Linked DNA regions of Sus scrofa. Each later gene encodes a partner of the first gene's protein in a complex. Links are inferred from orthologs where the notes say so. Each region holds a gene or a part of one and is shown in the gene's direction. Other genes may lie near its edges. The genes, in order: POLR2F, GTF2F1, TAF1A, UBTF, GTF2H4, GTF2A1 and RRN3.

Evidence for each region.
Region 2: POLR2F (region 1) and GTF2F1 share a complex: the UniProt entries of both Homo sapiens proteins name them as parts of the TBP-based Pol II pre-initiation complex. The link is inferred for Sus scrofa from reciprocal best matches to the Homo sapiens genes POLR2F and GTF2F1.
Region 3: POLR2F (region 1) and TAF1A share a complex: the UniProt entries of both Homo sapiens proteins name them as parts of the pol I pre-initiation complex. The link is inferred for Sus scrofa from reciprocal best matches to the Homo sapiens genes POLR2F and TAF1A.
Region 4: POLR2F (region 1) and UBTF share a complex: the UniProt entries of both Homo sapiens proteins name them as parts of the pol I pre-initiation complex. The link is inferred for Sus scrofa from reciprocal best matches to the Homo sapiens genes POLR2F and UBTF.
Region 5: POLR2F (region 1) and GTF2H4 share a complex: the UniProt entries of both Homo sapiens proteins name them as parts of the TBP-based Pol II pre-initiation complex. The link is inferred for Sus scrofa from reciprocal best matches to the Homo sapiens genes POLR2F and GTF2H4.
Region 6: POLR2F (region 1) and GTF2A1 share a complex: the UniProt entries of both Homo sapiens proteins name them as parts of the TBP-based Pol II pre-initiation complex. The link is inferred for Sus scrofa from reciprocal best matches to the Homo sapiens genes POLR2F and GTF2A1.
Region 7: POLR2F (region 1) and RRN3 share a complex: the UniProt entries of both Homo sapiens proteins name them as parts of the pol I pre-initiation complex. The link is inferred for Sus scrofa from reciprocal best matches to the Homo sapiens genes POLR2F and RRN3.

Annotation. Positions count from the first base shown.
Region 1 is NC_010447.5:9,914,807-9,918,924, reverse strand, and holds the start of POLR2F (DNA-directed RNA polymerases I, II, and III subunit RPABC2), read left to right. Parts: upstream 1-1,203; 5' UTR 1,204-1,315; coding exon 1,316-1,335; intron 1,336-3,019; coding exon 3,020-3,089; intron 3,090-4,118. Other genes in the region: C5H22orf23 (UPF0193 protein EVG1), read right to left, coding at 579-882. UniProt on the Homo sapiens protein: DNA-dependent RNA polymerase catalyzes the transcription of DNA into RNA using the four ribonucleoside triphosphates as substrates.
Region 2 is NC_010444.4:72,690,517-72,694,173, forward strand, and holds part of GTF2F1 (general transcription factor IIF subunit 1), read left to right. Parts: intron 1-149; coding exon 150-343; intron 344-1,748; coding exon 1,749-1,919; intron 1,920-3,657. UniProt on the Homo sapiens protein: TFIIF is a general transcription initiation factor that binds to RNA polymerase II and helps to recruit it to the initiation complex in collaboration with TFIIB. It promotes transcription elongation.
Region 3 is NC_010452.4:11,345,340-11,348,996, reverse strand, and holds part of TAF1A (TATA box-binding protein-associated factor RNA polymerase I subunit A), read left to right. Parts: intron 1-1,217; coding exon 1,218-1,284; intron 1,285-2,120; coding exon 2,121-2,244; intron 2,245-3,657. UniProt on the Homo sapiens protein: Component of the transcription factor SL1/TIF-IB complex, which is involved in the assembly of the PIC (pre-initiation complex) during RNA polymerase I-dependent transcription.
Region 4 is NC_010454.4:18,988,960-18,993,350, forward strand, and holds the start of UBTF (nucleolar transcription factor 1), read left to right. Parts: upstream 1-1,555; 5' UTR 1,556-1,758; intron 1,759-2,985; exon of another isoform or gene 2,986-3,073; intron 3,074-3,394; exon of another isoform or gene 3,395-3,553; intron 3,554-4,249; 5' UTR 4,250-4,316; coding exon 4,317-4,374; intron 4,375-4,391. UniProt on the Homo sapiens protein: Recognizes the ribosomal RNA gene promoter and activates transcription mediated by RNA polymerase I (Pol I) through cooperative interactions with the transcription factor SL1/TIF-IB complex.
Region 5 is NC_010449.5:23,397,799-23,402,145, forward strand, and holds the start of GTF2H4 (general transcription factor IIH subunit 4), read left to right. Parts: upstream 1-1,506; coding exon 1,507-1,646; intron 1,647-1,908; coding exon 1,909-2,013; intron 2,014-2,351; coding exon 2,352-2,483; intron 2,484-2,758; coding exon 2,759-2,855; intron 2,856-2,946; coding exon 2,947-3,035; intron 3,036-3,245; coding exon 3,246-3,357; intron 3,358-3,486; coding exon 3,487-3,555; intron 3,556-4,038; coding exon 4,039-4,122; intron 4,123-4,347. UniProt on the Homo sapiens protein: Component of the general transcription and DNA repair factor IIH (TFIIH) core complex, which is involved in general and transcription-coupled nucleotide excision repair (NER) of damaged DNA and, when complexed to CAK, in RNA transcription by RNA polymerase II.
Region 6 is NC_010449.5:103,981,797-103,985,453, reverse strand, and holds part of GTF2A1 (transcription initiation factor IIA subunit 1), read left to right. Parts: intron 1-1,552; coding exon 1,553-1,873; intron 1,874-3,657. UniProt on the Homo sapiens protein: TFIIA is a component of the transcription machinery of RNA polymerase II and plays an important role in transcriptional activation. TFIIA in a complex with TBP mediates transcriptional activity.
Region 7 is NC_010445.4:7,547,926-7,551,582, reverse strand, and holds part of RRN3 (RNA polymerase I-specific transcription initiation factor RRN3), read left to right. Parts: intron 1-1,458; coding exon 1,459-1,589; intron 1,590-3,657. UniProt on the Homo sapiens protein: Required for efficient transcription initiation by RNA polymerase I (Pol I). Required for the formation of the competent pre-initiation complex (PIC).

The DNA of each region.
Region 1 (4,118 bases):
AACAGGCACCGTGTCCTGATGGGAGTTCATGAACTAGAAGGGCAGATGGATGTTAATTCAACATGAATTCATAGGGACACACAAGGTATCTGACTACAGGTTACGCTAAGCCCAGTGAAGGAAAAGGCACTGGGAGTGTGTGGGCACCTAACGGTTGGTTGCACTGTGTTGGTGGTGGGTGGGGAGGAAATAAGGCTTCTCTGGAGAAATTGAAAGTGTGATATAGTATGTGTCACTGGGTCACCATGCTGTACAGTAGGAAAAAAAAAATTGTATTGGGGAAATAACAATTACAAAAAAAAAGAATAACCAAAAAAAAAAAAGTGTGATATAAGGGATGCATAGCAGTTAACTACTCTAAAATTCGTGAGTTCTTTGACTTTTGGCCACTTTCGAGTTGCAGGACCCCCAAACTTTCCTGAACCCCAGGCTTCTTATCTGAAAAATGAAAACAGCAATTGCAAGCCATAAGTCATGCAGGTGAGAACTGAGTTACAGAGGTTAACAGTGACTACCGCTCTCCTTTTGTCCTTTCATGCACTGACACCACCGCCCCGCCCCGCCCGACCACCACTGACCTCTGAGCAGCTCGCAGGTTCTTGGGGTGTAAGCGGCCGGCTTGGGGCAGCGCCAGAAGCCAGTTCCTTTGGTCACAGTCTCCACCCTCTCCTGGGAAGCCATGGGAGGGCTCTGAGGAGGGAAAAACGCGACGACACACCCCCTGTCTCCCATATACAACCTCTGCTTCCGCATCCCCAACACCACCCAAAGTTTGGGTCTGGCGGGGGCGGGGCCCGCAAGAGAATCGTGACGCCGCCCATCAATATCGCGACAGTGCCCAATCCTCCCACCCGGAACAGATCCACTGGCAGATACACACATGCGAACAGAGACCTCATCCAGACCCGGCGCCTGTGGCAGGGAAGCCACCTCTGGAGGAAAGGGGCGTTAGGGTAACCTTGCCCGTTGTGTGATAGACCCAAACGGAAACCTCACTCTTAGGTAAGACTCCGGCTGGGTGCCCACTGAGAGTGGCCGCTAGGCTCTGAAGGAGCACCCGCGCCGGAGCCCTGCAGGAATGCTTTTGAGATCTCCGCTGCTCAAGCTCTGGTTATACACTCTGGCTACCATGGTAACAAGCTCTAGCTTCTCGGCGCGTGCGCACTATCGCCCTGCCGATCCTCCCGGAAGCAATTGCCTCTAGGTCACAGCGCAGGCGCAGAGTGCGCGTGGCGCAGCTCGTGGCGGAGGCGCGCAGTTTGCGGGTCTCCGCGCGACTCTTAGCGCAGAACCAGGGAGCTGCGGCGCGGGCGTCATGTCTGACAACGAGGACAAGTGAGTGCGGGAGCAAAGTGAGCTTTGCCGAGCCTGGTCAAAGGAGGTTAAGGAGCCGTTAACCGAGGGGCAATGCGTGAGGGGACTGGGGGTATTGAGGGGCCCGCGGAGCTGAAGAAGGGAAAGGCGGGGGGACCAGGAGCTTAGACCTGGTCACAGGCTGGGCCAAGAAAAGCCCCAGTTTGAGGATCCGGAGAGAATCAGTGAACGTGGTATCTTTCCACAAACTTTCACGGAGTCGGGCTCTGTCTCTTGATTTGGAATTACTGAGGTGAATTAGGCATAGCTCCTGCTCTTCAGGTAGGGGGCCCTTTCTAGAAAAGGGGACAGGCCCACAGACGGATACTGCAGGGGTCGTGTGAATTGCACGAAGTATGTAAAAGAAACCCAGCGGAGGGTCTGGGGAGACTTGAGGTGGTAAAAGTCTGGGAGGCTTGCGGTAATCCAGGAAAAAAAAAGGAGTGACTTGTACTAGGTAATCGTAGTAGAGGTAGTGAGAAGTGGTTTTGATTTCTGGGTTTATTTTGAAGCTAGAACCGGAAAGATTCCCTGAATGTGTGGAGGAGAGACAAAAATAGAGGCGTCTTTAGCATAAGAGTATTAGTCAAAGCTAAGAGAGGGGGCGATCATGGGGAGGCGGCAGGGGGGTGGGTGGTCAGTAGAGAAGAGGAGATGAATGAGCGTCAGAGCATCCTAACTGTGGAGTGCCTGGAGGGAAGAGAAGCTGAGAAAGAGCCACTGTGAGGCGGGGGAACACCAAGACCGCGAGGTGTCCTTTTCTTTCTTTCTTTCTTGGTCGCCCTTGTGGCATCTGGAGTTCCTGGGCCTGGGATCAGGTCCGAGCCACAGTTGTGACCTATGGCACAGCTGCAGCAGTGCTGGATCCTTAACCCACTGTGCCGGGCCAGGGCTCGAACCTGTGTCCCAGTGCTCCAGAGATGCTGCCAGTCCTGTTGCGCCGCAGCGGGAACTCCAGTGGAGAGTGTTTTGAGTGAGAGGGAGTGATTCGGTGTGCCACCTGACAGATCAGGCTAAATGAGAACAAGAATAGACCAGTGGATTTAGCAACGTGCAAATCATTGATGAACTTGAAAGGAGTGGTTTTGGTGGAGCCAAGGAGCTGAAAGTCTTTGGGAGTGAGATGATGACAGAATGTGAGGAGAAGAATTGGAAATGGCGAAGATGGACGACTCTTTCATGAATTTTTCTCCCACAGGGGGGCATGGAAATAGGGCTCTGGAGGGAATAGAAAAGGAAGCTTTGGCGTTCCTGTCATGGCTCAGTGGTTAACGAATCTGACTAGGAACCATGAGGTTGCAGGTTTGATCCCTGGCCTTGCTCAGTGGGTTAAGGATCCGGCGTTGCCATGAGCTGTGGTGTAGGTCACAGATGCGGCTTGGCTCTGGCATTGCTGTGGCTCTGGTGTAGGCTGGTGGCTACAGCTCTGATTAAACTCCTAGCCTGGGAACTTCCACGTGCCGCGGGTGTGGCCCTAGAAAAGACAAAACCAAAAGAAAAGAAAAGGAAGCTTTGTTTTAGTAAGTTGAGGACATCAAATGACTTAATAAATTATTATTATAAAATGATTTACTCAGTAAGTGCATATTTATTGAGCACCTCCTGCTTATCAGATCTATGCCCTCTTTGATTCTTGTAAGTGATGCTCTGCTTTCTTCTTGTACAGTTTTGATGGCGATGACTTTGACGATGTGGAGGAGGACGAAGGGCTAGATGACTTGGAAAATGCCGAGGAGGTAAGTGTTTAGCCTTGGGCTCTCCTCTCGGCAGCCCAAGTTGCCAGATAGCCCGGCCAGTGATGACTGAATGCATCTGCTTCTTGTCTGTAGTGAGGCCAGTTAGAGTGAGGAGAGGTCTAGTCCTGGGTGGTGGAGGTGGCCCGCAGGGTGGGCCTGAAGGATTTTGTCCACTTGGACCACAGCCTGTAGCTTCTGGGGTGGTTAGTTTACTGACAGGTGAAATATCCCCTTCATTCATTGAGCAAACATGTGTTGAATGTTTATTGTGTACCAGGAGCGCTGCAGGGTGGGGCTACATAAAGAGCAAGGGGGAGAGTGACCTGGAATAAAGCTGGAGAGGTAAGGGCCAAGGTCAGGCAGGATGTTGTAGCCTGCAGGTGGTGGGAAGCCACGGACAAGTTTTGAGCTGGGGAGTGGCATGGTCCAGTTTACACTTTAAAGGAACACTTTGGGGAGTTCCCGTGGTGGCTCAGTGGTTGCAGGTTCGATCCCTGGCCTTGCTCAGTGGGTTAAGGAGCTGGCGTTGCTGTGAGCTGTGATAGTAGGTTGCAGATGCAGCTCGGATCCTGCCTTGCTGTGGCTCTGGCGTAGGCCGGCTGCTACAGCTCTGATTAGACCCCTAGCCTGGGAACCTCCATGTGTCGCAGGAACGGCCCTAGAAAAGGCAAAAAGGCAAAAAAAAAAAAAAAAAAAAGGAATACTTTGGGGAGGAGCAACAGTAGGAGAGGCCAATTCAGGAGCTCTCACGGACCTCCAGGTGAGACCTGTAGCTGGCACTTGGGTGCTGATACTGCTGGAGATGAGAAAACGGATGCAAGAGATATTTTGGTAGATTGGATGTGGGCTGAGAAAGTGGGAGATGCCGAGGAAGACGAGTTTCTGGTGAATGAGTTACTAGCTTCATGGCTAAAGTGGGGCTTTGTGTCCTGTGTGACCGATGGATGGGGATGCTTGTGTGTTAGTTTAGGCTGGAAGCCGAAGCCTCTCCTTCAGGATTTCCTCTGCCTCGCCCTCTGGGATAGCAGT
Region 2 (3,657 bases), on another chromosome or scaffold:
ACAGTCACTGAGCACCTTTTGGCCAAGCCAGAAATCAGCTCTGAATGGCCACTTCTCAACTTGGAAGGGAGGAAGGGGTGTCGTTGGCAGGGGCAGAGGGGGGCGAGGGCAGGCTCCCTCATGAGAGGTGTTGCTCCCTGATCCCTCAGGCCCGGCTGGAACGTGACCTGAGTAACAAGAAGATTTACCAAGAGGAGGAGATGCCAGAATCAGGCGCTGGCAGTGAGTTCAACCGCAAGCTCCGGGAGGAGGCCCGGAGGAAGAAGTACGGCATCGTCCTGAAGGAGTTCCGGCCGGAGGACCAGCCCTGGCTGCTCCGCATCAATGGCAAGGCAGGCCGGAAGTAAGTGCCTTTCCCGCCCTCACTCCTTGGGTACCCTGGCTGAACTTGCACGGGAACTTGCACGTCCGGCTGTACAGTGTGGGTGACACCTTATCCTTTATTTGGGAAGATGAGCCGAGTGGATGCCAGGGCAGGAGGTCGGAGGGGCAGGATGCAGGAGGGCGAGGCTCAGGTCCTGGTGCTCACACTGAGGGGCTGCTGGGGACCTGGGGGTTGGACGATTGGGAGCACTGGAGGTTAGGTGGCTGGAGGGCCCTTAGGCAGAACAGAGAGCATGGAGGCAAAGAACGCCCAGCCCTAGGGACTGTCACAGCATGATACTGACAGAGTGGGCAGATTGGGAGGGCTATGCGCGCCAGGTGGGTGGGAGGGACCCTCTAAGATTGCTAGGAAGAGGGCCAGGACTTGTGGGGCAGAAAAGGGTGAGGGTGGGAGTTCCTTGGTGGCTCCATGGGTTAAGTACCCAGCATTGTCACTGCTGTGGCTTGGGTACTGCTGTAGTGCAGGTTCCATCCCTGGCCCAGGAACCTCAGCATGCAGCATGTGTGGCCAAAAGAAAAAAGAGTCAGATTTCCCATTGCAGCGCAGGGGAAATGAATCTGACTAGTAGGATGCAGGTTCGATCCCTGGCCTCCCTCAGTAGGTCAAGGATCTGGTGTTGCTGTGAGCTATAGTGCGGGTTGCAGATGCGGCTTGGATCTGGTGTTGCTGTGGCTGTGGCTGGCACCTGCAGCTCCAGTTCATCCTGTAGCCTGGGAACTTCATATGCCGCACCTGCAGCCTTAGAGAAGAAAAAAAAAAAAAAAAAAAGTGAGAGTGAAGGCCAGGAAGATTCTGGAAGCAAATGCAGAGGGGTCTAACTGTAGAGTCCTTGCTCTTCACAGCTAATCTAACGCAGTCCTTCCAGAAGGGACCATGAAATGTATAAGGCAGGGAGCCATAAGCCCTCTCTTCAAGGTGGGGAGCCCTGCTTTCGTCTTTTGTTTTTTTAGGGCCTCACTCTCAGCATATGGAAGTTCCCAAGCTAGGGGTCTAATTGGAGCTGTAGCCACCGGCCAACACCACAGCCACAGCAACGCCAGATTCGAGCTGCGTCTGAGACCTACAGCACAGCTCACTTAACCCACTCAGCGAGGCCAGGGATGGAACCCAAAACCTCATGGTTCCCAGCTGGATTCGTTTCTGCTGTGCCATGATGGGAACTCTGGAGCCCTGCTTTCCAGATGTCGAAATCCAGGCTCAGACAGTGGAAGGGCCAGCCTGAAGCTTTCCAGCCTCAGATTTTGCTGGAGAACCCAGGTGGCTCTGGAGAGAGGGCAGGTCTGGGATGTGGGCAGGGGGCCTGGGGCTGAGGCTGGGGCTGGTCCCTTTTCCACGGGCAGACCATGACCTTCGACTCCTGCAGGTTCAAGGGCATAAAGAAGGGAGGCGTGACAGAAAACACATCCTACTACATCTTTACCCAGTGCCCCGATGGGGCCTTTGAGGCCTTCCCCGTGCACAACTGGTACAACTTCACACCGCTGGCCCGGCACCGCACTCTCACAGCCGAGGAGGCAGAGGAAGAGTGGGAGAGGTGAGTGTGGGAGCCAAAACGATTGGAAATGGGGTGTGTCCCCCTAACTTTGATCTGGGCTGAGAGGTGGGGACTCAGTGGTGACCAAGCCAGCCTCACCAGCCCCTCAGGGAGCTCCTGGACCAGTGGGAAGCCCTCAGGGATGCACCCGGCCCTGTAAGAGCCGTGAAGGGATGGCTGAGCTGAGCCCTGGAACAGGAATTGGCAGAACGGGGCAGCGGTGGTGGGGGGTCTCCTTGGCCTACAGGGCTCCCTCCAGGTAAGAGGTCCCATGGCTGGATCAATGGCTGGTAAAATACATGTAACATAAAATTTACCTTTTTTTTTTTTTTTTTTTTTGTCTTTTTGCCATTTCTTGGGCCACTCCCGCGGCATATGGAGGTTCCCAGGCTAGGGGTCCAATCGGAGCTGTAGCTGCCAGCCTACACCAGAGCCACAGCAACGCAGGATCCGAGCCGCATCTGCGACCTACACCACAGCTCACGGCAATGCCGGAACCTTGACCCACTGAGCAAGGGCAGGGACTGAACCCGAAACCTCATGGTTCCTAGTCGGATTCGTTAACCACTGCACCACGACGGGAACTCCAAATTTACCATTTTTAAGTACACAGCTCAGTGTCATGAAGTTACATTCACATTGTTGGGCAGCCATCCCCACCATCCAGCTCCAGAACTTTCTCATCTTCCCAAACTGAAACTCTGTCCCCTTTAAACACTAACTCCCCACCTCCTCCCCGATCATTTACTTCCTATCTCTGTGGATTCTACTCCTCTAGGACTGTGGGTTCAGACAATGTTTGTCCTTCCGTGTCTGGCTTATTTCACTGAGCATCATGTTTTCAAGATTTATCTGTGTCGTATTGTGTATCAGTGCTTCATTTCTTTTTTTTTTTTTTTTTTTTTTTTGGCTGTGCCTACAGCATATAGAAGTTCCTAGGCCAGGGATTGAAACCACACCACAGCAGCGACCCAAGCTGCTGCTGTGACAATGCTGGATCCTTAACCCACTAGACCAACAGGGAACTCCCCCTTTATTTTTCTTTCTTTGTCTTTTTAGCGCTGCACCCACGGCATATGGGGGTTCCCAGGCTAGGGGTTGAATCACAGCTGCAGCTGCTGGCCTACACCACAACCACAGCAACAGGGGATCTGAGCTGCTTCTGCGGCCTACACCATAGCTCACAGAAACACCAGATTCTTAACCCACTGAGCAATACCAGGGATTAAACTCACGTCCTCATGGATACTAGTTGGATTAGTTCACCCCTGAGCCACGATGGGAACTCTGGGAACTCCCTTTCTTATAGTTTTCTGAGTATAGGTCTTTTACCTCCTTGGTTAGATTTATTCCTAGGTATTTTGTTCTTTTGGATGCAATTGTAAATAGGATTTTTTTCTTAAATTCTCGCTCTTTTTTTTGCTTTTTAGGGCCGCACCACAGCATATGGAGGTTCCTAGGCTAAGGGTCAAATTGGAGCTACAGCTGCTGGCCTACACCACAGCCACAGCAATACAGGATCTGAGCCGCGTCTGCGACCTACACCACAGCTCATGGCAATGCCAGATCTTTAACCCACTGAGTGTTGCCAGGGATGGAACATGCAACCTCATGGTTCCTAGTCACATTCGTTTCTGCTGTGCCAGGACGGGAACTCCTTAAATTCTTTCTGATAGTTTGTTAGTGTATAGAAATGCAATAGATTTTTATCTGTTAATTTGTTATCCTATAACTTTAC
Region 3 (3,657 bases), on another chromosome or scaffold:
AACCAGAGTTCCTGTCGTGGCTCATTGGTTAACGAATCCAACTAGGAACTATGAGGTTGCAGGTTCAATCCCTGGCCTTGCTCAGTGGGTTAAGGATCCTGTGTTGCTGTGAGCTGTGGTGTAGGTTGCACACTCGGCTCGGATGTGGGGTTGCTGTGGCTATGGTGTAGGCTAGCAGCAACAGCTCCGATTAGACACCTAGCCTGGGAACCGCCATATGCCGTGGGTGTGGCCCTAAAAAAAAAAAAGACCAAATAAATAAATAAATAAAATCCCACTGCAGCAGCTTGGGTCGCTCCTGTGGCTCAGGTTTGATGCCTGGCCTAGCATAGTAGGTTAAAGGATCCATCGTTGCCACAGCTGTGGCTTGGATTCAGTCCCTGGCCTGGGAACTTCCATTTAAAAAATAAAAGATTAAGGAAAAGTAACAGATTTACTGGTTATTTTGTAGGAAATTATTTCTGTGTGAGGTTAAAGTACCCCAGCAAGTAGACAGAATAAATTATTTTTCCTTCTTCTTTTTTTTTTTTTTTTTTTTCAGCCGCACTTTTTTTTAGCTATGGCATGTGGAAGTTCTGGGCCAGGGATCAAACCCTCAGCACGTCAGACCCTAACCTGCTGAGCCACGAGAGAACTCCTCCTCTCTAATATTAACTTTGTTTAAAGGAGAAATACACTTGTAATCCTGTTTTTGGCATATTCATAAAAATAGTCCATCCTGTTCTTTAACAGAAGAACCATTGATTCTCCCTATTGTGTAAAAAGACTTTTAAAATATTGACTTTGAATACTCTTAATGTGCTGTGTTCCAGACCTCAGTCTTTCAAAATAACTACCCTTGCCTTTTATCTTACTGTGTGATCTTCTCTTTTTTCCTTTATTTTTTTCCTCATTCTTGGTTGCTGAAAGGAAACAAAGTTTTTAAGTGTGGTAAACAGTTTAACATGGTGAAAATTAAATGTTTCTGTCTCTCCAAACCCTCCCACCCCCCAAATAGCTATTTTGTTATGAGCAGGGAATATTTTTAAAAAAAATAGCTTTACATGGAATGCTTTTCAATACCAAAATTAAACGTGGATAAAAGTAAAGTATCTTTTAAATCTTTGATTCATTTGCTGAGGACACATTAGACACTAAAAGCTTTATTTGAAAGTAAGTTGAAATTAGAGAAATGCCTTTAGAATGTGTACAAATCACAAGATTATTCTTTCTTCCAGATTTTGTATCAGATTGTACCATCTCATAAACTGATGTTAGAATTCCATAGATTACTGAGAAAATCAGGTAATTCTCGTTTTCCATCTCTTTGTGCAGACAGGCTGTAGACTAGGGGTCGGCGGAGGACCCCACCTGTTTGTAGAAAACTAGGTTCTATTGGTGCTCAGCTGTGTCAGTTTAGTCCTGTACTGTCTGTGGCTGCTTTTGCGCTGCAACAGCTTGTGTAGTTGTGCCAACCTGTAAGGCTTGCAGAACAGATGTTTAGGGTCTGGCCCTTTGCAGAAAGAGTTTGCTGAGCCCTGCTCTAGAATGTCAGACAAGAGTTGGCAAATGGATTCAATTTCTGTAATTCATGTCCTTTTACACTTAACAGAGTGTCAGCTCAGCATTGGAGGAAATCCACTTATTAAGTCCAGTAGGCAGTGGGACTACCTCGGTGCCCCACTGGTAGAAGAGAACATGTATAAAATGCCCAAATAGGGCAGGCACTTTATTTATTTATGTATTTATTTTGGCCACACCCGTGGCCTGTGGAAGTTCCTGGGACAGGGATCGAATCTGAGCCGCAGCTGCAACCTACACAATAGCTGCAGCAGCACCAGATTCTTAACCCACTGTGCCACAGCAGGAACTCCTAAGACAGGTAGGATAATGTTATGAATAGTATCATAACATTCATAAACCCATGAAGAGATGGGACCGGGCACCCTGCTGTCATTAGCGTGGGCTGAACTGAGTTGTTCAGATTCATTGCAGGAGAATGTGATGATAGTGAATTGTTTTAAACTTCTAGCCAGACTAGAAGGCTTATGATGTAGTGGTCCTTTATCAACAGAATGTACTCTTTCATCTTTGCACGCTCGTGTGCTTTCTCTAACCTCTGATTGTTACGACCATTGCAGAGAAGGAAGAACACCGTAAACTGGCCTTGGAGGTATTGTTTGGAATCTTAGATTTTGCTGGATGCACTAAAAATATAACTGCTTGGAAATATTTGGCAAAATATCTCAGACAGACTTTAATGGGGTAAGTAAGAAGCACACGGTATCTGTTACTGCATCACCATAAATATTTCCCAGTATTTTAGAGGATATCAGTCCATTTTTAAAGTTCTTTGTTTACGTTTCTGCATTTCTCAAACTGTGTCTTCAGCTGTTTTCTTCTGCTTACATCAGAAGACAGGAAATAGGAAGTCACAAGTGAAACATACAAAAATTCTGTCTGGATTTGTTGTGCTCTCAGTATGAGTGCTGTTCCTTACCCCTGCCTGAGAGCTGAGTGTGCGCCTTCTGATGGGAGGGGGCCTGGAGGGGTCCCTGCCAGGCTTCACTGCTTCTCCGTGAAGCTCTTTGTGACTTGGGTCATCACCCTTTACGTTCACAGGGGAGCAGCTTTTCTCCCAGCTGTTTGCAGTCGTTTTCAGTGGCTTTTGAGGCCCTCATAAAATTGCCGTGGTTTTTCATTTAGCAGATCACTGCGAGTCCCTGGTGAGCTGGGTATTCAGAACTGTGCCTCTGAGCATGGCAATCATCGGTGTCATGCTTTAAGCACGAGCAAAGGAGCAGCCCTGGTCACTTTTACCTTGTGTGTGAGCAGAAAGGATATCGTTGATTTATTATATCTGTTTTAGTTGGTTAGGAAATTCATTATCAGTGGGAACTTTGCTTCAGGCTTCAGACCTGACTGGACCTTAGAGGTAGAAGAGTCCTGATTATAAGATGTTTCGGGGCTGCTCTGTTGATGTCTTTACTGTAAACCACTTGGCGTCTCTAAGCACTGTGCAGACCCTGCTGCCTGTAAGGTGCTTAAAGGCAGAGGACCACGCTGCTCATGTTTTAAACCTCTCGATGGTGCTACAGCAGGGGCCAAGCAGGTGCCAAGGAAGTCTTGACTCAGATTATTGATGAACACTTAGCATTGCCTGGGTTCAGCTGTCAAACCCCTGTGTTTATATAATAATGACATCTCCATTTGGATCGTTATTCTTTGTAGCATATAATTGAAAGTAAGGTTTTAAAGTAACTTTAAACATTTACTGTGTACCAGACAACATGCAGAGGTTTATATGACACCTGCTATTCTGCGGACCAGTCTAATCTTAACAGTGGTGCTATGAGGGGGTTCTTTGCGTGGCTCAGTGGTTAACAAACCCGACTAGGATCCATGAGGATGTGGGTTCAGTCCTGGCCTCGCTCGGTGGGTTAAGGATCCAGCGTTGCTATGAGCTGTGGTGTAGGTCGTAGACGCTGCTCAGATCCCGCATTGCTGTGGCTCTGATGTAGCCCAGTGGCTACAGCTCCGATCCGACCCCTAGCCTGGGAACCTCCATATGCCAAGGATGTGGCCCTAAAAAGGGAAAGTAATAATAACAGTGCTGTGAGACGGGCACCATTAGTATCCTCAAGGAAATTAAGGCTCAGAGAGGTTAAGCGACTTTGC
Region 4 (4,391 bases), on another chromosome or scaffold:
TTTCGATCCCCGGCCCGCAGGGTGGTAGGAGAACAGAGGCCTACGAGGAGGCTGCCCCGCTGCGGCTTGCGCGGCGAGGCCCGGGTGCCAGGCTCCCCTCTTGGCTCCCCGCCGCCGCTGCCGGGGGTGGGGGTAGTGGAGGGTGGGGGGCAGCGCCCGCAGCCTGCTTTCCCAGGGCTGGCCGAGCCTTTTTGACAAGCCGATTGCGTGGCGGGGATTGGCTGGTCCGGGCGTGACGCCGGTTAACAACAAAGGTGGAGTTGGAAGAAATTAGATTAAAGGAAAGGGAAAAAAAAAAAAAAAAATTAAAGGGGGAGCTGGCAGGGGACAGGCGGCAGAGACCGAAGGGGAGATGCACGAAGCGAGGTCTCAAGCTCCAAGTTCACCCCGGATACCCCTTTGCCTAAACCCAACGGGGTTTTTGCTCTTTATCCAGACGCCGGCCCAGCCACTGAAGCCGGGGTGGGAGGGACGGTTGCTGCTTCTTGAGAAATACCCCCACCTCCCACCCTGACACCCCCTTGCTACGGCCCAGGGGGAGAACTTTTTGCTTGGACTTCCTCGGATCCTAAACCCGTAGGAGGTGAGGGGCACTGAGAACAACGAGGGGCTCGCTCCAAAACCCGGAAGGCCCTGGCGGAGCCCCGAGATCGGACTAGGCGGGGTGCTCCCCGGGTTTTTCAATGTGTTGCAAGCCTAAGAGCTATTTGCTTGCTTTTATCTTTTTCTTTCTTTTTTGTTTTTTTGTAACACTCCCCCTTGCTCCCCACCCCCCACCCACTCCGCTCTGGCTCTAGGGTTGCAAAAGCAAAGAGCAATAAAAAAAAAAAAAAAAAAAAAAAAAAAAAAAAAACCCGCGCACACACTCAGACACACACCAGTGGCGACAGGGGAGAGTTGGAAAGACGCAGGAGAGAAGCAGGAGGCAGGAGGCAGCAGGGAGGGAGCAATGGGAGCGGGAAGCCGGCAGGTTCCCTCGCAAATCCCCCTCCGGCCCCACGTCGCCTCGCCGGCCCCGGCAGGGGAGCGAGGATCCGGGCAAGCAGATGGAGGAGTGGAGCTCGCTCTAGGCAGCGGGCTTGGCCGGAGAATGGAGGAGCCGCCAAGCGATCGGCTGATTGGAAGAGAAACGCAGAGCGATGGAGGCGGGGGTAGGAGGACGATTTCTCTGCGGGGACTGGCGGCGGCGTATACGCCCGGGTCGGGCGCTGCAGAGCTTGGCTAGCTTTCAACCCGCGCTCGCCGGCTACAGCCCCGCGCGCCCCCACCCCTAGCCCTCCCGGCGGCTCCGCAGGTGAGTGCGAGCTGGGGGCAAAAAAAGACCCGAAAGTCTCAACAAGCCCGCCCTGCCAAAGGAAAAAAAAAAAAGAAAAGCATTTTTTCCTTTTCTTTTTTTTTTTATTTTCATGCAACCCCCAGAGCGGTGGGAGGGAAGGGGTGAGGCTGAGCCGCTCGGAGGAGGCGGAGGGGCCAGGCGAGGCCGGAGTGGCCCGGGAGGCGGCGGCGCCGAGGCGGCTCTGACGGGCGAGCGCTCGGAGCGGCGCTGCGCTGCGCCGAGGCGGGCGGGCGGGCGGGCGGAGCGGGGCGGGCGGAGCGCGGCGCGTGGGGCTCGCCATTAGCCGTCGCTCCGCTTCGCCATCTCGGGCTTTGTCTGGCGACTCGCTGCCCCGGCGTCGGCTGCGGCGGAGCTGCGGCTCGGCTCTTCGGCCCGCAGCACCCCTAAGGCGCCCCTGGCCCGCACTCCCATTCACACGCTCGGTAAGTGAGCCCCAGCGCCGCGGATTTCGGGGGAGAGGGGTTGCTGCGAGCGGCGGCAGCGACGATCTCCATGCGCCCGGGCAGGCCTGGGGAGCCATGCCGGGCTGGATTGAACCAGCTCCCAGAAAGGCTCCTCCGCCGGAGCCCGTTGCCCCCTCGCCGTTTGCGGAGTGTAAGCACAGGATTTTTTTTTTTTAATTTGCAAGGAGGATATTTTGTAGGAATAATTTTTTAAAAGTTCGTGTGTGTGCTGCTTGGCAGCGAGGCGACCGCGAGGCAGGCTCCGAAGCCTGGCGCCGCGATCGGCGGGCGTGCGCCCCAAGCCGGTGGCTACGCTCCGGGGATAAGGGTGGGCGCGGACCGCCCGCTCCGGGAGGCAGGCGAGGGGAGCGGGTGAGGGCCGGCGTGGAAACCTGAATCTGAGCTGGGAAGACTTAAGAGAGAGCTCCGGAGCAAGGCTGCAGGCACCCCCCGAGCCTCCCTGGCCGCCGGGGGGCCCTCCGGGCACCCTCTCTGCGGCCGCGCCTCGAGCCCTCCCTCCCGCGCCGGCCGAGCCTGCCAGTTCCCCCGCGGGTCTGGCGAGGTCGCTCTCGGCGCCCGCCCGCCCGCCTGCCTCGGCTCCGAGCCCCGCCGCCATCCGGGCGGCTGCGTGTCTCCCTGCCCCGGCCCCCCCCCTCTCCGGCGGCAGCAGCCGCCGCCGCCGCCGCCACCACCACCACTACCACTACCACCACCACCACCCCCTCCCCTCCTTCCTTCCCTCCGCCTCGGCCGCCCGGGTCCCCCAGCTCCCGCCCCTCCTCCCAGCTGCCCCCCGCGGAGCCCGCCCGGGCAGGCTGTGGGAGGGAGCGGAGCCGGCGAGGCGGGCGGGCTGGCGCTCGCTCCCCGGGGGTCGGTGTGCGCTCTACGGGGAAGGACGCGCTCGCTGCCCCGCTTCTCCCGCCCCCCCTCCCGCTCCTCCTCCTCCCTTCTCCCTCCTCCTCCCCGCTCCGGCGGCGGAGGCTGCGGCGGCGGCGGGGGGTGTGCGAGCTGAGGCCGGGGCCGGCGGGCGGGCGGCGGGCGGGCTGCCTGCAGGCGGAGGGCGCTGTGCTTTGTGCTTTTCGCCGCGAGGAGCAGCAGGCAGCAGCCACAGCCGCCGCCGCCGCCACAGCAGCAGCAGCCGCCGCCCCAGCGCTGCCGCCGCGCCCGGAGGAGGAGCCGCTGCCGCCGCGGGAGGGAGCTGCGGCTGTGCCCGGCCGAGCGGGGGAGGGCGCCGCCGCTCAGAGCCGGGGAGGGAGCCGCCGGAGCGGGAAGCCTGGAGGCCGCGCTGTGCCGGGTAACCGAGGCGGCTGAGGACGCGCGCTGGGGTCGGGGCCGGGCGGCGGGGAGCGAGCCGCGGGTACGGTGGACGCCCGGAGGGGACCCGGGACGACCTCCGGGCAAGGGACTGGGCGAGAGAGGGCCAGGGCACTGGAGAGGACGCCGAGAACCGGGGGAGGGGAGGGCAGGAAGCGAGGCCCGAGCTGAGTCCCGGCAGCAGGCGGAGGAGCCCGCGCTTCTCCGAGCCGGCAGGCGCAGTTCTCGCCGGCCGCCGGAGGGGGCGGCGGGGCCGGTGAGCGCTGCGCCCCCGCCTCCCGGCCGCCGTCCTCCCGCCCTCTCCTTGGCTCGGCTCCCCGGAGGCCGGGGCGGGGGCGCCGGCAGGGCTGGGCCGCAAGCTCGAGGGAGGAGGCGGCGGTTCCCGCCGTGGTCGCGCCTCTGCGCCGGGCTCCTCCGTGCGCGTCGGGGTGGCTGGGCGGCGGCGGCGCCTCTACCCGGGGTGGGTGGCTCGGGGGCGGGGGGCAGGCCAGGCCGCTTCTCTCCGGCTGCTCGCCCGCCCAGGCGGGCGGGGACGGCGTCGCGAGCCCGCGTGGGGGGGGCGGCGGGAATCCGGATCCGGTCCCCGGGGGAGGTGCGGCCGCTGCGCTCCGGGGCCGGCGGCGGCTGCGCTGCGTCCGGGTCCCCGCCGGGTTGCGGAGGCGGGGGGAACCGGCCGGGGGGAGCGGGAGGAGGAGACTGTGGCGCGTGCCCGATTCCGCGGCCGCGCGCGCCCTTTACCCGCCCTTCCTCCTCCCCCGCCCTCCAGCCTGGGGCCTCCCCGGGGCGGGCGCACCGAGGAGGAGGAGGAGGAGGAGTTTTTTTTTTTTTTTTTTTTTGGCCGGGGTGGGGGAAGGAGGGTGGAGGGCGGGCGCTAGCTGCACGCGGGAGCGGGGAGCAGTCTCTCGCGTGGGCAGGGGAGGGCGCACGCCGCGGAGCCGGGCTGTAGGGGCTGGGGGCAGTGGGAGGGAGTTAGGAGGAAGTGGAGGAGGGCATTCCCACCCCCACCGACTCATCTCCCAGGACCTTGGCTTACAGAGTGGGGACTTGGGGCTCCCTCCCCCTTTGGGGGAGGGAGGGGATAGACAGTTCCTCACTTCTCAGCCCGTCTGAGTGAGGACTGCTTTTTTTTTTTTTTTTTTCCTCTTTTTCCCAAAAGGTGAGGTGGCTTTGACCCCGGCCTGCCTGGCCAGCACGACCCGAGGAGGTGGCTGGACGGCTGGAGAATGAACGGAGAAGCCGACTGCCCCACAGACCTGGAAATGGCCGCCCCCAAAGGCCAAGGTAGGAGCCCGGACCTT
Region 5 (4,347 bases), on another chromosome or scaffold:
TAATAAAACTTGTCTTAAAGGAATTTGGGGAAACTTACAGATCTGGCTCTGGCTTAAGACGTTCCCTTCCCTTAACAAGCAGTAGTTTAATATATCAAATCAGACCAAACAATTGTTTGTTTTTTTAAACTGCATTTATTAGGATCTTCTAACAGGGGGCGGGGGGGGGCGGGGAGGTGGATGGAAGCATGGAGGACGTGACAATTAAGATTTACTGAGTATTTACTTGCCAAGGAAGGCACACCGGATGGAGTTAACTCCTAATTCGAGAAAATGCTCTGGAAAGTGCATTATTCCAGTTTTACGAGGAGCAACTGAGCTCAAGGAACCCAGGTTTCTGCATCTCTGAACCTGAGCTCCTCACCACCCAGTGGTTTCCGCACCTCGGATAGGAAGACCTCGGGGAACTTCTATTCTCAGGGTCCCCACATGATCTCGGGTTGGTTAGACTCGCCGTTAGCCGAGTGGGTGGAGAGCGATGCGGAACGAACAGCCAGACCTCCGGAGCCTCCGGCTCTCTTACGTAAAAGCCAGCCTCTCTCCGCTTGGCTCCCCGCAGTGCCTTTTGGGAGTTGTAGTCGGACGCGCTTCAGCTGGCTCCCGGGCTGGGAAGGACAAGACTCCAATTCCCAGCATGCCCTGTGGCGAGCGAGTGCAGCGCCGGTTCTTCTCCTCCCTACCTCTCCACTCCTCTTCTGAATCCTCCACTCTGGACTTGCGTGGGTGAAATCCTTCGTCCCCCTCCCCATATTTTTCGCTCACTTTCCGCCATTCTTTCCCCTATTCCTGAGAGCTAATGCGAGACACTGGCTCCGATTAAGCGACGGCTTAAGACTCGGAGTGCACGAGGAGGGGGTCGACACTGAGTGGTAAGGGGGCTGGGAGAGAAGGGGTGGCGGGAGGTATAAGAAGGAGAGAGTTGATGAGAGACGAGCATTGGGAAGAAAGTAGGGGACGAGTTAGGAGGAGATCATACGGTGTGAGTCAGGGTGAATGGAGTGAAGTAGTCTTAGGGACGGGAAGAGGAAAGAGGTGGAATTAGATTTATGAGACTTGGAGGGGAAAGGTAATTATTGCCGTTCCCAGCACGAGGAGTGGGGTCAAGAAATAGATGGAGAGAATGGGCAGATTGAAGTTTATAGGCTGATCAGACCAGGAGAGGTCGAGGGGAGAGAGAACTGGGCTCAGAAAACTTTCTTTGCCTAGGGTGTAGATAAGTCACTGAAATACAAAATATTTTTGCAAATATGGAACAGCTGACAATTCTTTCACTTAGAAATTGGAGAAGACTTGAGTTGAGATCAGGAGTGCAGTGAGGAGGGAGGAAAGAAGAGGAGGGTGGTCAGGTTTGGGAGAAACAAGAGGAGATGAGTGACGTGAAAAAGGAAACTGTAGAAAAGATGAATTTTTGCAGGGGCCAGTGGATCTGGAATTGGAATGAGAACGGTGAGGGGGTGACACTGGCATGGATTTCGGAGGTCCACTAACACTTGCATCTCTCAGGTGATGGAGAGCACCCCTTCAAGGGGTGGACTGAATCGAGTACACCTACAATGCAGGAATCTGCAGGAATTCTTAGGGGGCCTGAGCCCTGTTGTATTGGACCGATTGTATGGGCACCCTGCCACCTGTTTGGCTGTCTTCAGGTGAGGACCCCGTTCATGGCAGGGACCATAGTAGGGAAATGTAATGAGGCCTGCAGACTGCAATAAGTTATCATGGGTAGAAGCTTAGCTCTGGGGGGCTTGGAGACTAAAATGTGTCAGGCCCAAACAGATGGAGATGTGGGGGCAGGAAGACTGGTAAAAGGGCCAGGGGTGAGATGAGATGTTTGAGAGGCATTTGAGGGCAGGGATGCAGATCTGAGGCAGTTTCTGATATTAACGTTTTCCCTCTGCCCCCTTATAGGGAGCTCCCATCTTTAGCTAAGAACTGGGTGATGCGGATGCTCTTTCTGGAGCAGCCTCTGCCACAAGCTGCCGTAGCCTTGTGGGTGAAGAAGGAATTCAGCAAGTGAGTCTCTGCTGCACTTTCAGCCAGATACAAATTTCTCAACAGCCAGGTTTCCCAAACTGCTGGAGTATATTCAAGGGAACACCACTAAACTTGTAATTAAACAAGTTTGGGAAACTACGCATACTCCATTTTGCCTCTTGGAGAGTTGTGATGTCTATAACAAGGTTCTGGTAGGTGCTGCAGTAAAGAAATTTGCCTTAAGAAGATACCAATTTCACTCTGTGAAACAGTGTTCCAAGGACCACCAGTTCAGAAAAGGCAGAAATGGTGGTCTTTATGGGCTTCCTTCCTTTTGTTCTCTGGACACTCCCCTCACCTCTCCTCTTCTGTTCCAGAGCCCAGGAGGAAAGCACGGGGCTGCTGAGCGGCCTCCGTATCTGGCACACCCAGCTGCTCCCTGGTGGCCTCCAGGGCCTCATCCTCAACCCCATCTTCCGCCAAAACCTCCGCATTGCCCTTCTGGGTGGGTATGTCACTTCCATCTTTTCCTAGGCCAGGCAGGGGAACTAGTGATTAAACTGCTCATTAAACTACTTATTAAGAGGCCCTGGGGGACCTCTCTGGAACCTTGTGGGCTCCACCTTTGGGAGCTCCTTTAGGAATAAGTTGGACCAGACTTTGCTACGTGGTATAGGATATGTCTCCCACTCGTGGCCCCTGGAGATGAGGGTAGAAAGAGGGAAGGGGGGTGGTGGGCAGGGAACACAGGCAGGGTTCCTTACTCTCGGCCGTACTGGCATAGGGGCAAGGCCTGGTCTGATGACACAAGTCAGCTGGGACCAGACAAGCATGCCCGGGATGTGCCCTCGCTTGACAAGTATGCTGAGGAGCGATGGGAGGTAAGGACTTGGGACTCTGTGTGTGTCTGCTTGTGCTCCCATCCCAGGGCCCTTAGAGGCATCTGTCTCTCTGGTCTCTTCTGTTCCTCAGGTGGTCCTGCACTTCATGGTGGGCTCCCCCAGTGCAGCCGTCAGCCAGGACTTGGCTCAGCTCCTCAGCCAGGCTGGGCTCATGAAGAGGTGAGGAAGACAGAGGTACAACAGCTCTGTTTTGCCGTCTCCTCGAGTCCCTGCTAACCTGAGTGTTTGGGTCGGATCAGGATTGGAGGGGGTTGGCTGCAAAAGGAGAGCTGCGTAGAGCATGGCCAGAGATAAACCAAGAAAAATGTGAGCGGACAAGTGGAATGGTGGCCTTTCTCAGCAAACCTCTGCCATGGTCCCTTTCTGTAGTGCTGAACCTGGAGAGCCGCCTTGCATTACCTCTGCGGGCTTCCAATTCCTGTTGTTGGACACCCCGGCCCAGCTCTGGTACTTTATGTTGCAGTACCTGCAGACAGCCCAGGTGAGGAGGTCGGGGGCTGCCTGCTGGCATGCTCTGCTTTTCCCAGGACCCACTGAGGGCCTGCTGCCTGTAGACTCTGTTCCCCGGTTTTCTCTCATTTCCTCCCCACATCTGCCCGTTCCTCCTTAGAGTCGGGGCATGGACCTAGTGGAGATTCTCTCCTTCCTCTTCCAGCTCAGCTTCTCTACTCTGGGCAAGGTAAGCAGGGGGCTGGAGCTAGTAGAGGCTTGGGTGGGCAAGATGAAGGGTAGAGAGATGGAAAAGGAAATGAGGTTAGGGGTCAATAGAGTGAAAGAGAAGAATGAACAAAGAGGAGTTCCCGTCGTGGCTCAGCGGTTAACAACCCAATTAGCATCCATGAGGACGCAGGTTCAATCCCTGACCTCGCTCAGTGGGTTAAGGATCCCGTGTTGCTGTGAGCTGTGGTGTAGGTTGCAGACGCGGCTCGGATGCCGCGTTGCTGTGGCTATGGTGTAGGCCAGCAGCTGCAGCTCTGATTGGACCCCTAGCCTGGGAACCTACATATGCCACCCGTGCGACCCTAGAAAGACAAAAAGACAAAAGCAAAAAACAAAAAAACGAAGAACACCAGGGATGGGAAAAGTGGGAAGGAGCATATGGGGTTGGGGAAGGGAGAATGGGCTGGGTTTTGGACCCCAGCCGGCTACCTCTCTTCCCCAGGATTACTCTGTGGAAGGTATGAGTGATTCTCTGTTGAACTTCCTGCAACATCTCCGTGAGTTGGGCCTTGTTTTCCAGAGGAAGGTATGAGCGCCCAGATACATGGCTTTTAGGGAAGAGGCAGGGTGGTATGTTGCCTTGGCCTTTCAAAAGGAACAGGGGTCTCCGAAGGCAGAAGCAGGGGACAGTTGCCAGGACAGAATACTGGGGTCCCTCGGGGGAGGGGGAGAGATGTTGGGAGCTGAAGTTCTGTGCATTGGGAGGGATCTGATGTATCTGGAGGAAGATGAAGGGCACTGACCCTGAGAG
Region 6 (3,657 bases), on another chromosome or scaffold:
GTCATAATGCAATATCATACTTGTATTTTGCTGGGGTTTTTTTGTAAATTTTTTTTATTATATATATATTTTTAGGGCTGCACCTATGGCATATGGAAGTTCCCAGGCTAGGGGTCCATTCGGAGCTGCAGCTGTTGGCCTACACCATAACCGTAGCAATGCAGGATCTGAGAGATGACTATAACCTACACCACACTCACAGCAGTGCCAGATCCTTAACCCACTGAGTGAGGCCAGGATTGAATATGTGTCCTCATAGATGCTAGTCAGATTTGTTTCTGCTAAGCTACAACAGCAACTCCATACTTCTATTTTCTCATCTATTTTTTTGAGTTGTTACTGCACTTTTAATCTGTAAACTTCTTCAGAGAAATACTGTCCTATTTTTTTGCTTTCCTTGCACTTAATGGCAAGTAATTACCATTTGTTGCCTTTTACTTATTACTAGACTTTCCCCACTTTTTATGTAATAACTATAATCATAAATATGTTCATTATAATAGATGTAATTAATATTTGTTGATATCTTCCTTTTGAGCTGTGGTTTACTTAATCCTAGATTCAGAAGCTGGAAGGGACTTTAGAAATCATCTGATTTGGTGATTCTTAGCTGTGGTTCTATGATTAGAATTATCTGGGGAGTATTTATTTATTTATTTGCTTATTTACTGCTTTTTAGGGCTGAACATGTGGTATATGGAAGTTCCCAGTTAGGGGTTGAAACTGGAGCTGCAGTTACCAGCCTACACCATAGCCATAGCAACACAGGATCCAAGCCATGTCTGCAACTATACCACAGCTAATGGCAGCACTGTTTCCTTAACTCACTGAATGTGGCCAGGGATTGAACCCTTGTCCTTATGGATACTAGTTGGGTTTGTTACTGCTGAGCCATGATGGGAACTCCCTGGGGAGCTTTAAATAAAATGAATAGGTTTTGTCTCATACCAAGTAAATCAGAATATTAGGAGTGGGTATTGGTATCAGTATTTTTATGTTACCAAGTTGTAGCTTGTAGCCACAGTTGAAACAGTGAGAGAGGTTAAATGACTTGCTTCTGCTACATCTTTATGTGTGATCTTAGTCAAAACTAGCACCCAAGGCTTTAGATTTCCAGTGCAATGATCTTCATAGGGAGGCAGTGTAGAATAATAATAAGAGCAGAATCAGAAAGCCTAGGTTCACATTTTGCTTCTTAGTGACATGACTATAAGCTTTGCAAGTTATTAAACCTTAATACCGCAAGCAAATAAAGTAATAACATGTGGCCTGAAATCTGGCATATACCTAGAAAATACTTGATATAAATGGAGCAGTTATCTTCAGAAAATCTTCTTTCCTTTGGAAATTTGAATGATAAAATGAAAATTTAGTGGATCAATACACTTACTAGTTAAACATTACTCTTGTGTTTTGGTAGCTTTAGCTATGTAGCGATACGGCCATTTTTAGTGATTCTTTAGCATTGGGGCTATTTCTATATACCAAGTAATAAAACTGAACTATTGATCCTCCAGCTAGTTTCTAATATATAGTTTTTCTTTTGCCTTAGGTGCTAACTCCTCTTCCTGGAGGGATTTCACCACAGACAGGAGTCATCATTCAGCCTCAGCAAATCTTATTTACAGGAAATAAGACACAAGTTATACCTACAACAGTGGCGGCACCTACACCAGCACAGGCACAGATACCTGCAACTGGCCAACAGCAGCCACAGGCCCAGCCTGCTCAACAGCAAGCTCCTTTGGTGTTACAAGTTGATGGTACTGGGGATACATCATCTGAAGAAGATGAAGATGAAGAAGAAGACTATGATGATGATGAGGAAGAAGACAAAGAGAAAGATGGAGCTGAAGATGGGCAGGTGGAAGAAGTAAGTTTCTAGTAAATGACTTGAAATGAGAAGATATTTAATCATTTCTTCTTTCACGTGGTGCCAAACTGATAAATTATATTTTTTCAGAGGCTGTTAGGGTACTCTGCAACATAGGCTTTTAAATATAAAATTAGATTGTTAGTAAGATTTTTAGATTGTTCTGGTTGTGTTTATAAAATATTATTTCTATAGCTGGTAACAAAAAAATAGATGTATACCAAATTAAGTTATATTTTTAAAGGTGTTGGAGACAGTGCAAGTAATTCTAATTCTTTGGCTTATGGATTCATGATGTGGCTTAAACATAAGACATTGGTAGAATAGATAAATGTAGTTAATCTTTTTCTTCTGTAATTTAAAATGGCGTTTTTACAAAAAGCTAAATAAATGTGACAAATTTATTTAGAACCTCATTTTGTTCCATAATCCATACCAGTTCCTTAGATAACCTTATATGCTCTTAGTGTCTATCTTCATTCTTTCATATTTATTTTTTGTTGTATATTAGTAGGAGCATATTTCTTTGTTTTTCCTCTGTATTCTAGCTTAGTTACTTGTGTTCAAGATGATGTTTGTCTGACCACAATTTTCACCATTAATTTCCTTTTGCAGCTTAAGATGTAATATTGTTTCTTAGTGCAGAGTTCTTCTAAATTATCTAAGTAATATTTCTTAAAGAATACCATTTCATTAAATATTGAATAGATACAATGAATAAATATTTTAAAGTATGAATACTCCAGTGTCCACATCTAGTTAAAAAAAAAAAACCCATTACTTAAATAAAGCCCCCTGGATCCTCCTTCCTACTCCCCATTCTCTTCCTTCTGCCATCAGAATAACCATGCTCAGAAATTCTGTTTATCATTAACTTGTCATTATATTTTACCGTATGTATTTATGTTCCTAAAGAGCATATTTTTTAGTTTTGCATGCCTGTTTATAATCTAAGTGGAATATTTATGTATTCTTCTGCAAGTTGATTTTTTTCCCCAAGATAGTATTCCTGAGGTTCATCTAAATTGTCACATATACATGTAATTATTTTCACTGTTGAATATATCATTTATCCATTTTTCTGGTATGTTGGGCATGAGGGTTGTTTCTACTTGTTAACTGTTAGAGTTACAAAATACTATGGCCTCTGTCTTCCGGAGACACATGTAAGAGTCTCTCTAAGTGTTACACCTAAACATTGAATTGCTGAATCATAGGGGATGCATATCTTCCTTACAATAAAGTGCCACATCGTTGTACTGATAACAGTTATCCCATTTAGTATGTAATGGTTTATATGTCTATATATCTTTACTGATACTTGATATGTCAGGCTACTTAATTTTTGCCAATCCTGATAGGTAAAAAATGTTTCATTTTGGTTTTAATTTTTAAATAATTTTTTAGTTTTTTTTTTTTTCGCTCTTGCGGCCTATGGAGGTTCCCAGGCTAGGGGTCTAATCGGAGCCATAGCCACCAGCCTACGCCAGAGCCACAGCAACGCAGGATCCAAGCCGCGTCTGCGACCTACACCACAGCTCACGGCAACGCCGGATCGTTAACCCACTGAGCAAGGGCAGGGACCGAACCCGCAACCTCATGGTTCCTAGTCGGATTCGTTAACCACTGCGCCACGATGGGAACTCCAATTTTTTAGTTTTGATACTGTTGAGGTGTAGCCTTTCTGTAATTGACTGTTAAGTATAATGTTTATTGTAGGCTTTTTATGGATGCCTTTTAAATCAGGTTAAGTTCCCTTCTATTCAGTTAACCAAGAGCTTTGC
Region 7 (3,657 bases), on another chromosome or scaffold:
GAGCTGTAGCCACCGGCCTATGCCAGAGCCACAGCAACGCGGGATCCGAGCCGCGTCTGTGACCTACACCATAGCTCACGGCAACGCCGGATCATTAACCCACTGAGCAAGGGCAGGGACCGAACCCGCAACCTCATGGTTCCTAGTCGGATTCGTTAACCACTGCGCCACAACGGGAACTCCCTATTATTAGCATTTTTATGTTTTACTTTCCTGTTTGCATGGCTATATGAGTGTTTTTCTCAGTGATCCGGCAGAATCACACTGTAAGTGGTTTATTATCTGCCCTTTTCACCTATTGTGAACATTTTTCTCATCCCATTCATTGTTATTCTAAAATAGTTATTGCTAATCATATAGATTTAACTGGTCTCTCCTTTTTTTTCCTCCCCCTGCTATTTATGTATTTATTTATTTTTGCTTTTTAGGGCTGCACCAGTGGCATATGGAGGTTCCCAGGCCAGGGGTTGAACTGGAGCTACAGCTGCTGGCCTACACCACAGCCACAGCAATGTGGGATCTGAGCCGCCTCTGCAACCTACACCACGGCTTATGGCAACACCGGATCCCTAACCCACTGAACGAGGCCAGGGATGGAACCTGCATCCTCATGGATCCTAGTCAGGTTCATTAACCACTAATCCACAAAGGGAATGCCCAATGATGTTTTAAAACCACCCCCATGCTTTTTTTTTTGGCCATTATAAATAACAGTGTAACGAACGTTCTTATGCATATATCTTCGATTATTTCTGTGTGGTGAATTCCCAGCAGTTGAGTCGCTGGATCAAAGGGCTTCTTCTAAGTTGCGCTTTGACAGTTTATGGCATCACAGGAGTGTGTGTGTGAGATGAGTGCCTCTTTCTTGCCACTGCTGGGTTGTTATACGTGAAAAGGAAAACCTGTGCAAGATGAAGATGGCTTTTTTTTCCCCTATAGGTCAATGGATGATGTGTTGTTGTTTTTTTTAAATAAAATTTTATTGGAGTATAGTTGACTTAGAAAGTTGTGTTAGTTTCAGGTATACAGCAGTGTAAATCAGTTATACAGGTATCCGTTGAGGATGTGTTTCTTTTTCTATTTTTTTGGTCTTTTTTTTTGTTTGTTTTTTTTTTAAGGGCCACACTTGCAGCATGTGGAGGTTCCCAGTCTAGGGGTCAGATCGCAGCTGTAGCTGTCAGCCTATCCCACGGCTACAGCAATGCTAGATCAGAGCCCATTTGTTTGCAACTTATATCACAGGTCTCAGTGAGGCCGGATCCTTAACCCACTGAGCAAGGTCAGGGACTGAACCTGTGTCCTCATGGATACTAGTCTAGTTCATTAACCACTGAGCCATGACAGACCTCCATGACGTGTTTCTTAGTAGTTTTATTTTCTTTTTAAAAATTGATAAGTGAAACTGGTAGCTTGAAAATTATATCTTTATAGAACTGAAATGCCAAATTTTCTTTGTAGGTAAGATTGATAACAACAAGACAAAGGATTTATATCGAGATCTCATAACCATCTTTGACAAACTCCTGTTGCCCACACATGCCTCCTGCCACGTGCAGTTTTTTATGTTTTACCTCTGTAGCTTTAAATTGGTGAGTATGTCGTTAACATAATTGTAGCTTATTTTAGTCTCACCCACAATTTTCCATTTAAAAATGAGGGATGAGGGGATGGTATGGAAAGGGAGACCGAGGTGAGTATTTCGTTGTCTTCAGCTCATTTTACTTAGTGCCTCTAATAATAGCCAGCCCTTTTGGGGAGTTCCCATTGCGGCTCAGTAGAACCCGGCTAGTATCCATGAGGATGTGGGTTTGATCCCTGGCCGCACTCAGTGGGTTAAGGATCTGCATTGCTGTGAGCTGTGGTGTAGGCCAGCAGCCATTGTAAGCCCCAATTCAACTCCTAGCCCCAGAACTTCCATATGCCATACTTCTGGCCATTAAAAAAAAAAAATAAATAAATAAATAAAAAATAGGAAGCCCTTTTCAATATAAGGAAGAAGCAGAGGGCTTCATCTGAGTGCAGTTCATCTGAGTGCTCGGAAAGTGTCATCCCGTGTTTGGTCCGCTAGGCGGTGCTCTTCCTTTCAATTCAAGCCTTAATTAAAATCTCATATTGGATATTTAACTGTTTTATTTTCTTTCAGTTGCTCTTAAGTAGCCCAAACTAAATTTTTTTTAATCTAGAATTTTAAAACTTTAGGCATTGGTTTTCTATTTTGAGAACAAAGCAAAACCAAAAAAATAGAGGCCTCTTTTTGCAACTCTTTCGTAGCTTCCTCGAATAGTCTGGAAGGGTGTTGGTCCTGGGCAGGAAGGTTCACCTCACTCTGCCTCAAAGCGTGTGTTAGCAGCTTCTGAAAAGAGCTATTTGGGAAAAGATGGAGGTTGCATCCTTTGTTTTAAAAAAAAACTTAATTGGTCTGTTTTTTCCCCTATGATTTGCATAATGAGTCAAAAACCAACTGTAATTTAATCCCTATTTCTGTTTCTGGTTAAGTTGAACGTGTGCAGTCTGAGAGGCACTGCAGAAGGGTTCCCATGGGTGCAGATTATCGCTGGTTTCGAGTGCCGGCTAAATCTCAGAATCACTTGTAGAGCTTTAGAAATAGCCCGGTCACAAATCCAAGGGTTCCAAAGCCCTGAATCTATAGGGTTAGTTTTCATGTTCAGCTAGTTTTTAGATCCATTGAATTATTTAATGCTGGGGAACACCTTTTGTTGTTAATGTATATTATCTCAAGACATTTTAAAAATAACCACAATAACCGTATTCATGGAGTTCCCATCGTGGCTCAGTGGTTAACGAATCCAACTAGGAACCATGAGGTTGCGGGTTTGATCCCTGGCCTTGCTCAGTGGGTTAAGGATCCAGAGTTGCTGTGAGCTGTGGTGTAGGCCTGTGGCTACAGCTCCGATTGGACCCCTGGCCTGGGAACCTCCATATGCCGAGGGTGCAGCCCTAGAAAAGGCAAAAAGACTGAAAAAAAAAAGTATTCATTATCTGTTTAGTAGTATAACTGAGATACCAGAACTTTCTCGTATAAGTGAGTTAAAAATCTTAGGATTCTGATAGCCAGAATATCTTAAGAATTTAAAAAAAGATGAGGAGTCCCCATCATGGCACAGCAGAAATGAATCTGACTAGGAACCGTGAGGTTGCGGGTTCGATCCCTGGCCTCGATCAGTTGGTTGGGGATCCCGAGTTGCCGTGAGCTGTGGTGTAGGTCACAGACTCGGCTTGGATCTGGCATTGCTGTGGCTGTGGCGTAAGCCTTCGGCTACAGCTCTGATTAGACCCCTAGCCTGGGAACCTCCTTATGCCGAGGGTGCAGCCCTAAAAAGACCAAAAAATAAACAAATAAAAAAATTAAAAAAGAAGATGAGACCTGGGAGTTCCCATTGTGGCTCAGCAGTTAACAAACCTGACTAGCATCCATGAGAACTCCAGTTTGACCCCTGACCTCTGCTCAGCGGGTTAAGGATATGGCGTTGCCATGAGCTGTGGTGTAGGTCACAGATGTGGCTTGGATCTGGTGTTGTGTGGCTGTGGCATGGGCTGGCAGCTGTAGCTCTGATTAGACCCCTAGCCTGGGAACCTCCATATGCCATGAGTATGGCCCTAAAAAGACAAAGACAAAAAAAAAAAAAAGGATGAGAC